2 linked regions of the Cricetulus griseus genome follow. The protein of the gene in region 2 purifies or fractionates together with the protein of the main gene of each other region. This does not show direct contact. Links are inferred from orthologs where the notes say so. Each region holds a gene or a part of one and is shown on either strand. Other genes may lie near its edges.

Region 1 (4,767 bases), on a different chromosome or scaffold from region 2:
GACAGCCAGAGGCAGGGGAGGAATATAGAGGAGCAAGTGCTTCTAAAAACAGAGGTGGTGACATCGCCTCGCCTCTGAATGCCCCGCCCACCCCACAGCAGAGCTCCCTGGCAGCGGCAGGACTGTGGGAGAAGGAAGGCGAGAGAGTACCAGACCTGACAGCCTGCCTCAAAATGCCAGTGGGTCAACAGTACCCTCCTGGCATGGGACACAGCGCTGGCTCCTGTCTGCCCTGTTTATTTTGGTGGGGGCGGGGAGGGGGAATCTTCTTGCTCATTCTGGGTCCCTAAGTATTGCTTTGGCTAAGGTCTATTTATGGTGGAATCCAGGGCAACCTCATCTCTGGCACTGAGGCCACTGGGGCTTCTGGTGTAATGGTCCCAGTAGGTTTATCCAGAACACTGAGTAAGCCATATCTTACTTCTGCCCCTGCTGCCCGCCTATTCTGAGGTCGGGGATGGGGGTATTTGGAGTTTTCTTTGCCCCACCTAGGTGAGGGAACACATGAGAAGGGAGTTTTGGACTTCTGGGACCTTCCCTGGGTCACTGGCTTTTACTGACAACATGGTTTACATCGGTAAGACGTCAGAACCGGATTGGGAAGTTTCAGGAGACTTATAGGGTCCCAGGGCCCACTCGACAGAGCCCAGGCTCCTGGACAAGCTGCCCTTATTAAGACTTTTAGAAACACTTTTGGAGGCACCTGAGACCATGCAGCACAGTTTCCCTATTCAGCCAAGGCTTAGGTTCACATGCCAGAGATAGGGGAGCCGTGAGCATGGCCCACACCAGTCTCTCTCCACAGCCTCCCCCAGAGCTGCCTGCTAACAGTCATGAAGATCACAGCCAGGGAAACTGCACGATGCCCTTCCCATGCAATGAGGAAGATGGAGACAGTCTAACACCTGGCAATCAGGCTGGTGGGCCAGGAGCCTGGTATGATTGGCTATTCTGAGGGGGAGGGGGACATGGGCACCTCGGGGATCTGAGCAGAGGCAGGCTAGATGTGGAGCATGTGTTCAGGAGCACTGTGCACCTGTACAGAGCACGTCCGTGGACCCAGAAAGTGACACGCAGGAATGACTGTCTTCCACCTCAATAATTAATGCTGCCTGACAGAAACAGGGATGCTAAATCCTTCCAGCTGCAGCCCAATCGCAAATGATACATGGGAGGGGTCAGGTGGCAGCACCAGGTGGCAGCCAGGAGCCCTCCGAGTGTGGAATGCTGCCCAGTTCCCAGGCCCATCCTTGAGGCGGGGTTCTGAGGCCGTTTACTGACGGTACAGTGGGGGCAGATACCAAGCATGGCACAAGGATGCCCCTGGCCTCAGCATTGTGCCAGCTCATGTATATATTCTTCAAGAGAGAGAATCACTCCGTTTTGATCCTGGCTGCCAGATGAGCAGACGTGAGTGACCACCTGCAGCCAGAGTGCTTACAAGGAACCATTGCGGTGGATGGGGCAGCTTGTTGGCTGGTGTTCTTTGCCTCTGTTGGAGGCTAGAACTTACCAAGCATGAACTATGAAAGAGGTAAGTCTCAGGGGTTGCACAGTCTGGGGTCCCAGGACCTCTGTGGAAACCTAGTCTTTTCCAACCCTTCCCATTACACCATCCAAGGTCAAGTTCCCAGGCAGGGACTGGACCATCCTCAGATCAAGGGAGACCCCGGCAGAAAGCCAGCCGGCCATTGCGGTTCATCACAAGCATGGAGTAGGGGCGGGGGCCATGCACACTGGGAAGGAAGGATGGAATGGCAGCGTGGATGGGCAGCGAGGGGGCTCCAACACCATTTTGCTTTCCCTTTGCTTGCAAGATGTCCTCACGGGGCACTTCCCCACCCCTTATGCATTTTATGGAGAAGTTTGTCATGGGGGACAGAGTCTTGTAAATAAAAATACTGTCTCATAAAATGCAGCTCGGACACAGAAGTCAATAGTCGGCTGAGGGTACTGTGTACCTTCAATGATGAATGTCCTTGACTTGAAGGAACTAAATGGGTCCCCTGGTGATAAAAGAAAGATTTAAAGAGACCAGAGTTTATCGCTGTGGGAACACAGAGGCGTGGTATGATAAAGGGCAGGACAGAAGAGCACAAATCATCCCACAGAACAGAGTTCTGCTGAAAAGAAAGAATATATATATATATACACACACACAGCAGTGTGGTATATATATAAAAGCAAATGGAGACAAAATAACCAGTTCAACTTCACCTCCCAAGTCCCATAAGCAGCAAAGCATAAATGAGAAAGACGCTGAGGCAGGAAGTGGGGGAGATGGAGGGACCGGGTGGAGGGAATAAATAAACGCTAAGGAAACCCAAACGGCTCTTCACAGCACTGAGTGCTTCCTCTCCTTCAGGTAATAACTTACCCCCAGAGCAAAAAAACCTCAAAGCCCTCCCAGGGGAACCAGAATGAAAAGAATAAACTGTCCCCGACAGCCACCACACATGGGGCAAAACACCAACTGCTGAGAAGGAGCTGCTGCTCCGGAACACAGCCAGGTTACAGAATGAGATGAGGGCCCGGGCTCAGCCTGGCAGGGCCAGGGCCCACCCCTCCCCCACTCAGAGGCCTAGCCACCTCTGTCCTGGTTGTCTGGTTATTCGTGACAGTTACCAGAGCCTCAGAGACGACCACTGCTCGCCTGGCTTTGTCCTGCCTGCATGAACTAGCTAGAGGGAACCGGCTGACCTACCTTCCATGGGCGTGTTGGGGTCTGGGCGGTTGGCGAAGACCACATCCACGTAGTCCAGCTGCAGCCGCTCCAGGGAAGCCTTCAGTCCTGGGAGAAGAAGGGGAGGGGTCAGCACTGAGTGTGCCTCTAGATCCCCCGATCCCTGGCTCAGGGGACAAGAGTCAGAAGAGAGTAGGCCCCTGTCCCGGGGAGCTTCAGGGTAGGTGAGGTTCTTGAGGAAATGCCAAGACACAAGGCACATTCTAAAGGGAGGCAGACACCCTGGCCATTCCAGGGGACGTCAGAACCACAGACCAAATGTCCTAAGCCTATAAATCATGCACGCTCCCTGGGCTACTGCCGGGACCTGGTGGTCTGTACTGAAATAACCAGAGCTGGGCATGGTATCACACAGAGGGACAGTACAAAAGGCTGGTGGTATGTGACACACCAGTCACCAACCCACACCTCCCAACAGCTCAGAGAGCCAACGGTCAGGATGAAGACACTGGGCCTGAGGAGGTACCAAACCTCCTCTCCCCGCCCCTGCCCAGTGACGATGTTTCTCATGAAAAATATCACTTAGATCAGAATAAATGTGGCTTAGGAAGAGCTCGCATCCAGCCCCACCCCCCTCTGGGCTGCATGTCCATTATTCCCAACAGCCCCGTGTGGGTGTGTGCTCACACAGTCCTGTTTTCCAGACCTTTTGGCACAAGCTCAGGGAGGTGATGGCTCTCGCCCAAGACCATTCAGACAGCACGCAGCTCAGCCTGGCCTGAAACCTGACCATGTCTGTCCAGGCTTGGCACAGCCTTTGTCCAGTAGCTGGTCTCCTGCGTCTTTTTGGAGCAGGAGGACATGGTCAAAGAAGGGGTCCGTGTGCTCCAGGGTCAAGGCGTGGGCTGACTCACTGAAGGGAAGGTAGGGCCACTACACGTTTTAGCTCTCCTCAGGAGATCACAGGCTGCGCGCACCATGGGGCAGCGCCATGGTTAGCGACCCTCCTCACCTTCAATAATGTGCTTCCGGGAAAGGCCTCTCTCCGTCTCTGCTCTGAAAGACAGATATTGCAGTCGGTTGGGGGGGGGTGATGCTTATGATCACAATGCTAAGAGAAAACGCAGATCAGAATGCGTGACATCTGTGGGTAACAGTTACAGGCTGAGTATCCACGGCTCCCTCCGGTGGATGCCTACACGCTGACCCCAGGGTGGTAGTGGGCACAAGAGCTCTAGGTTTCGATATCACCTTGCTGTTAGGCTTTGATTTATTTATTTATGATGCTTTTGAGACAGGTTTTCCCTGCATATCTCAGGGTGGCCCCAAACTCAAGATCCTCCTGCCTCAGCTTTTCAAGTATTGGGGTTACAGATAGAAGCTCAGCAAAGGATTTTTTTTAATTACCAACAAGTTTTTTTTTTTTTTTTTTTTTTTTTTTTTTTTAATTTGTTTTGAGACAGGGTTTCATGTATCCCAGGCTGGCTTCAAATTTGTTACACAGCCACGGATGACCTTCAACTTCTGAGTCCTCGGCCTCTGAAGTGCTGTAATTACAGACATGAACCACCATAGTTTACAGGGTGTAAGGAGGAATACAGGAGTTCATGCATGCCTGACAAGCACTCTACTGACTGAGCCTCGTTCTCAGCCTATAAATCATATTTATAACCCCCATGAGATGAACTTTGTCCAGCCCTGTAGAGAATATAGAGCCAGACACCTGGAAACTGGCAGTGTGATAGGTGGCCCAGGGACTTTAAGCTGGCTTTGATAGTTCGTAATTCTGTTTCCTAGAATTTTTATAATGTCACCATGTAAGCAAAAATAATAAAAATTAAAACAAGTTTTGAGTAAAAGACAAACTCAGCCAAAGCTGCTTGCAGTTTGGGGATATACCAGTTGGGCGTGAGGTCCCCAGCCTTCAGGTAGCTGAGAAAGGCCAACACCCCCTCCTTCCTCAAGGACAACAGTGTGACCTTGCCCCAGCCTCACAAGTGGTGTCTCCACAGGGACAGGGGCTACAGTGATCAGCTCCCACTGGGAGCACTGCAAACTGTGGCACTTACTTTCCACCCCAGAAG
Region 2 (4,744 bases):
GTGCTGACACACGTTTGTGTGCCCCTTGCTGTTCCAAGGAACTTGGCATCAAGTTTCCAAAACACCCACATGCATAGACCCATTCACAGACGAGAGGCTGTGACATCCCCGGAGTAGAATCTCAAACAATACTCAGGAAAAGAAGTAGACAATATAAGCAGACACTCAAAACTACAGTAACGTCTCAGCGACATAAAACCAAGAAACATCTGGAGGAGGCTGTGTCTGGAATTGCCAGGCATGCCTTGAAAAATCTTCCTCTTGGCTTTTGATGCCCACAGTAGCCTCATGGACTAAGGGCAAGGGTAGAGCGGGGTGAGGGGAATGGAACCTGGTGTGTCTATAGGTGCCGAGGACTATATGTTATCTCAGTCATCCTCCTGCCTCCTGTAATGGGAGCTAATGCTCTCAGGCCAGATATGGGAGGGGTGACTCTGGCAACTTGGATATGAATTCCAAGTTTTGACGCTTCGTATTTCTGTGGACCTGTGTGATTTTGCCAGTCTTTCTGTGCCTCCGTTTCTTTGTGTGTTGAAGGTAGTAATAGCACTGACTTACAAAGTAAATCGATGTAGCAACACGTAAGAATGACCTGGGCATTCTCCCTCTCCTTACGCTGGTCTCTATGCAGCTACTAGCTCAGCGGCTCCCCTGCACAATCTTTCCCCACCAGGATTTATAACCCTCTTTTCTCATTGTGGTTTTTGCAATTGAGGATTTGGTGGAGAGGTTGGAGGGATAGTGTAGGATGCAGGGTCAGGAGACCAGACAGCTTCTCTCTTGATGGGACTGCCCCTGAGTCTGTACTGGCAGCTCAGATCACCAATGTCTGGGTTGGAATCCAGGTTCAAGGGGTGCGAGGAGGTCTCAGCCTCCTACCTTTCAATGGGTTTGCAGAAAGATCAAAAGAACCCTGTCCCTCCCTCCCTCCCTCCCTCCCTCCTCCCTCCCTCCCTCCCTCTTCTCTCTCTCTCTCTCTCTCTCTCTCTCTCTCTCTCTCTCTCTCTCTCTCACACACACACACAGTTTGCCACTCCTTTCCAGTCTAACTCTTTCCAAAGAAAGGAGACTATTAATGCTCCAGAGTAGTGGTTCTCAACCTATGGGTCGCAACCCCTCGACAACCCTCTATTTCAAAAAAAATTTTACTTAACAGTTCACAACATTGGCAAAATTACAATTATGAAGAAGCAATGAAGTGGTTTTATGGTGTGTGTGTGTGGGGGGGGGGGGGGTGGTCACCGCAACATGAGGAACTATATTAAAGGCTCACAGCAAGCATTAGGAAGGTTTGAAGCCATTGCTCTAAAAAACAACATTCAAAGGACTCTCTTCTCCAGTCTCTTATCTGCACTCAGCTAAAAAGCCTTTCCCTTCCATCTAAAGCAGTTCCCATCCTCTGGTGTCCCCTTGGCTTTCAATGTGTTCCCAGGTGATCTGAGATCCTGAAGCTATTCTCATCCTGTTGCCCTGGGTGTTTCAGCACTCCTGGAACAACCTGTTCCTTGCTCCTCCTGCTCCTTCCCTCCTCCCCTTCCCGTCCATTTTTGTGGCGGTGCCCCAGCTTAACCCTCCAGAGAGACACTCTCTGACTCTGGCCCCAGAGGAGAAAAGGGAGGGGGAGGAGGAGAGGAGGGAGCCACAAAGGGCGGAGGCCGGGGAGCTCAGCCAGAGAGGGGCTGCCGAGGTTGCATCTGCTGAAGGAGGCTTGTCTGCTGCCTGGTAACCAGCTGCCAGAACACTGAGAGAGCGAGGCTGGGAGTAGGGGCAGAGGCTTCTTGACGTCAGGACCAGCCAACGGAATCAGCTACCCCAGCCAGTCCAGAGCCAGCTGGGCCCTCCGCTGGAGAGAAGCCCGAAGCAAGGCGCGGAGCTTGTGAGTTGGGGGTGTGGGAATCGGTTGTCTGGGGCGCAGCATGCCCTCTGCCCCTGGGCCATGGAGATCTCCCTGGTGCCTCTGGAGAACGGCAGTGCCATGACCCCCAGAGGAGGAGGGGAGGCAGCGGCAAGCTGTGTGCAGACCCCCAGGGGAGAGTGTGGGTGCCCTCCGACGGTTGGGTTCAGTAATCAGTCCAAAGAGTCCTCACCGAGGGGGCGCGCCACGCAAGATGATGAGGACCAGGAGGGGCTGTCTTTGACCCCTCTACCTCGAGAGCTACCGCAGCCAAGAGTGCCATCTCCTGAGGATGAAGAGGAAGAAGGCGACCCTGGCCTGAGCACAGTGGAGGAGGACCAAACTCCACAGGGCGCAGGGTCGCTGCATCACCAGCGCGTCCTTATAAATATCGCCGGGCTGCGCTTTGAGACACAGTTGGGTACCCTGGCGCAGTTTCCCAACACCCTCCTGGGGGACCCAGCCAAGCGCCTGCGCTACTTCGACCCCCTGAGAAATGAGTACTTCTTCGATCGCAACCGGCCCAGCTTCGATGGCATCCTCTACTACTACCAGTCTGGGGGTCGCCTCCGCAGACCGGTCAATGTCTCCCTGGATGTGTTTGCAGATGAGATCCGTTTCTACCAGCTGGGGGACGAGGCCATGGAGCGCTTCCGGGAGGATGAGGGCTTCATCAAGGAAGAGGAGAAGCCCCTTCCCCGCAATGAGTTCCAGCGCCAGGTGTGGCTAATCTTCGAATACCCAGAAAGCTCAGGGTCCGCAAGAGCCATCGCCATCGTGTCAGTCTTGGTCATCCTTATCTCTATCATCACCTTCTGCTTGGAAACTCTGCCTGAGTTCAGGGATGAAAGGGAGCTGCTCCGCCACCCCCCAGTGCCGCCCCAGCCCCCAGTCCCAGCCCCAGGGGCCAATGGCAGTGAAGCCAGCGTCCCTTCCTCTGGCCCCACAGTGGCGCCACTCCTGCCTAGGACTCTGGCTGACCCATTCTTCATAGTGGAGACTACATGCGTGATCTGGTTCACTTTTGAGTTGCTTGTGCGCTTCTTTGCCTGCCCTAGCAAGGCAGAGTTCTCTCGGAATATCATGAACATCATCGATATTGTGGCAATCTTCCCCTACTTTATCACCCTGGGCACCGAGCTGGCAGAGCAACAGCCAGGGGGCGGTAGTCAGAACGGTCAGCAGGCCATGTCCCTAGCCATCCTCAGGGTGATCCGCCTGGTCCGGGTGTTCCGCATCTTCAAGCTCTCCCGCCATTCCAAGGGGCTGCAGATCCTGGGTAAGACCTTGCAGGCGTCCATGCGGGAGCTCGGGCTGCTCATCTTTTTCCTCTTCATTGGAGTCATCCTCTTCTCCAGCGCTGTCTACTTCGCAGAGGCGGACAACCAGGGGTCCCACTTCTCCAGTATCCCAGATGCCTTCTGGTGGGCAGTAGTCACCATGACCACCGTAGGCTACGGGGACATGAGGCCCATCACTGTGGGAGGCAAGATTGTGGGCTCACTCTGCGCCATCGCTGGGGTCCTCACTATCGCCCTGCCTGTGCCTGTCATCGTCTCCAATTTTAATTACTTCTATCATCGGGAGACAGACCATGAGGAGCAGGCTGCCCTGAAGGAGGAGCAAGGCAACCAGAGGCGGGAGTCTGGGCTGGACGCAGGGGGTCAGCGGAAGGTTAGCTGCAGCAAGGCCTCCTTCTGCAAGACTGGAGGTTCCCTGGAGAATTCTGACAGTATCAGGAGAGGTAGCTGCCCCATAGAAAAGTGTCACCTCAAAGCCAAGAGCAACGTGGACTTGCGGAGGTCCCTATATGCCCTCTGCCTGGACACTAGCCGGGAAACAGACTTGTAAAAAGAGGCCCAGGCGAACTGGTGACAGCGCCACTGGGAAGAAGGGTGGTCCTCTTGAGCCCGGGCATCTGTTTTATACCACAGAGTATTTAAGCCCACCTGGTCACTGATGTCTGGATGCTTGCCTGGCTTTCTCCTTTTTCACCCTTCCTGCCACCCTGCCCTCTAACACCCCCATTTTTCCCTCCTCTTTACAGAACACCAAGGGTCACCTATTTTTAAGAAGTATCACATTCCATGACGCAGGAGCTGTTGAAATGGTGGGTACTGTGAGATGGATGTATTTGTAGCCAGTTTTCTATACCCAGCAGAGGGATAACTCAAACAAAAATGACTTTAAATAGCCCCAATCCCAAGAGATTCCATAGCCCTCCCTATCCCCGTGTTCCAAATTTACTTTACATGTGATTATATTTGTGTATGAGGCAAATATTATTTTTATGGCTGATGAGGGCATTTTTGTACGGTGGTGCACATGAAGAATATTTGGGTGTGTTCTTAAGATATATTTTGAATTACGAAAGAGTTGGGGGTCATCTTTTCCTAGGACACTTGGGGCCAGAGACCCTGAAAAAGATGTCCAGGTTCCTGTGCTGCGGGTGCTTTGTGTCTAGGGCAGAGAATATTCTAGAAGACTAGTACATCTTTTTTTTTTTTTTTTTGGTTCTCCTTAAACATTTCCTGTGACTTTCTTCACAGAAGCATTTTAATGATGTTGGAAGAAGGCATTTGAGAATTCATTCTTTTCATTTTGATACCAGGAAATAAAATGTGACTCCACTGGGGCAAGTGTCAGTTTCTCTACTGCCAATGTGTGTTTTGACATGCTAGGGAGTGAAGTCTGCCACTTGCTGTCTGGTTTTAGAGTCAGTGAAAATGATTTGACGGGGCTAGAAAACCTAGGAGGCTTGGCATCATCATTTTGATGGGTCCCTCTGAGCTTAGAAGGATGATAGACCCCCTGGCCTGTCTTGAGGCTGTGTGTGACATGGATGAATTA

What was found. The genes of interacting proteins can lie anywhere in the genome.
Region 1: the proteins of Kcna5 (region 2) and Kcnab2 purify together in Homo sapiens (co-immunoprecipitation; 3 studies listed by BioGRID and IntAct, counting the BioPlex papers as one, with this or other methods). This does not show direct contact. The link is inferred for Cricetulus griseus from reciprocal best matches to the Homo sapiens genes KCNA5 and KCNAB2.

What each region holds. Positions count from the first base shown.
Region 1 is NC_048595.1:3,958,678-3,963,444, reverse strand, and holds part of Kcnab2 (voltage-gated potassium channel subunit beta-2), read right to left. Parts: coding exon 4,753-4,767; intron 3,740-4,752; coding exon 3,696-3,739; intron 2,792-3,695; coding exon 2,705-2,791; intron 2,007-2,704; coding exon of another isoform or gene 1,962-2,006; intron 1-1,961.
Region 2 is NC_048601.1:19,957,844-19,962,587, forward strand, and holds Kcna5 (potassium voltage-gated channel subfamily A member 5), read left to right. Parts: upstream 1-1,936; coding exon 1,937-3,745; downstream 3,746-4,744. UniProt on the Homo sapiens protein: Voltage-gated potassium channel that mediates transmembrane potassium transport in excitable membranes. Forms tetrameric potassium-selective channels through which potassium ions pass in accordance with their electrochemical gradient.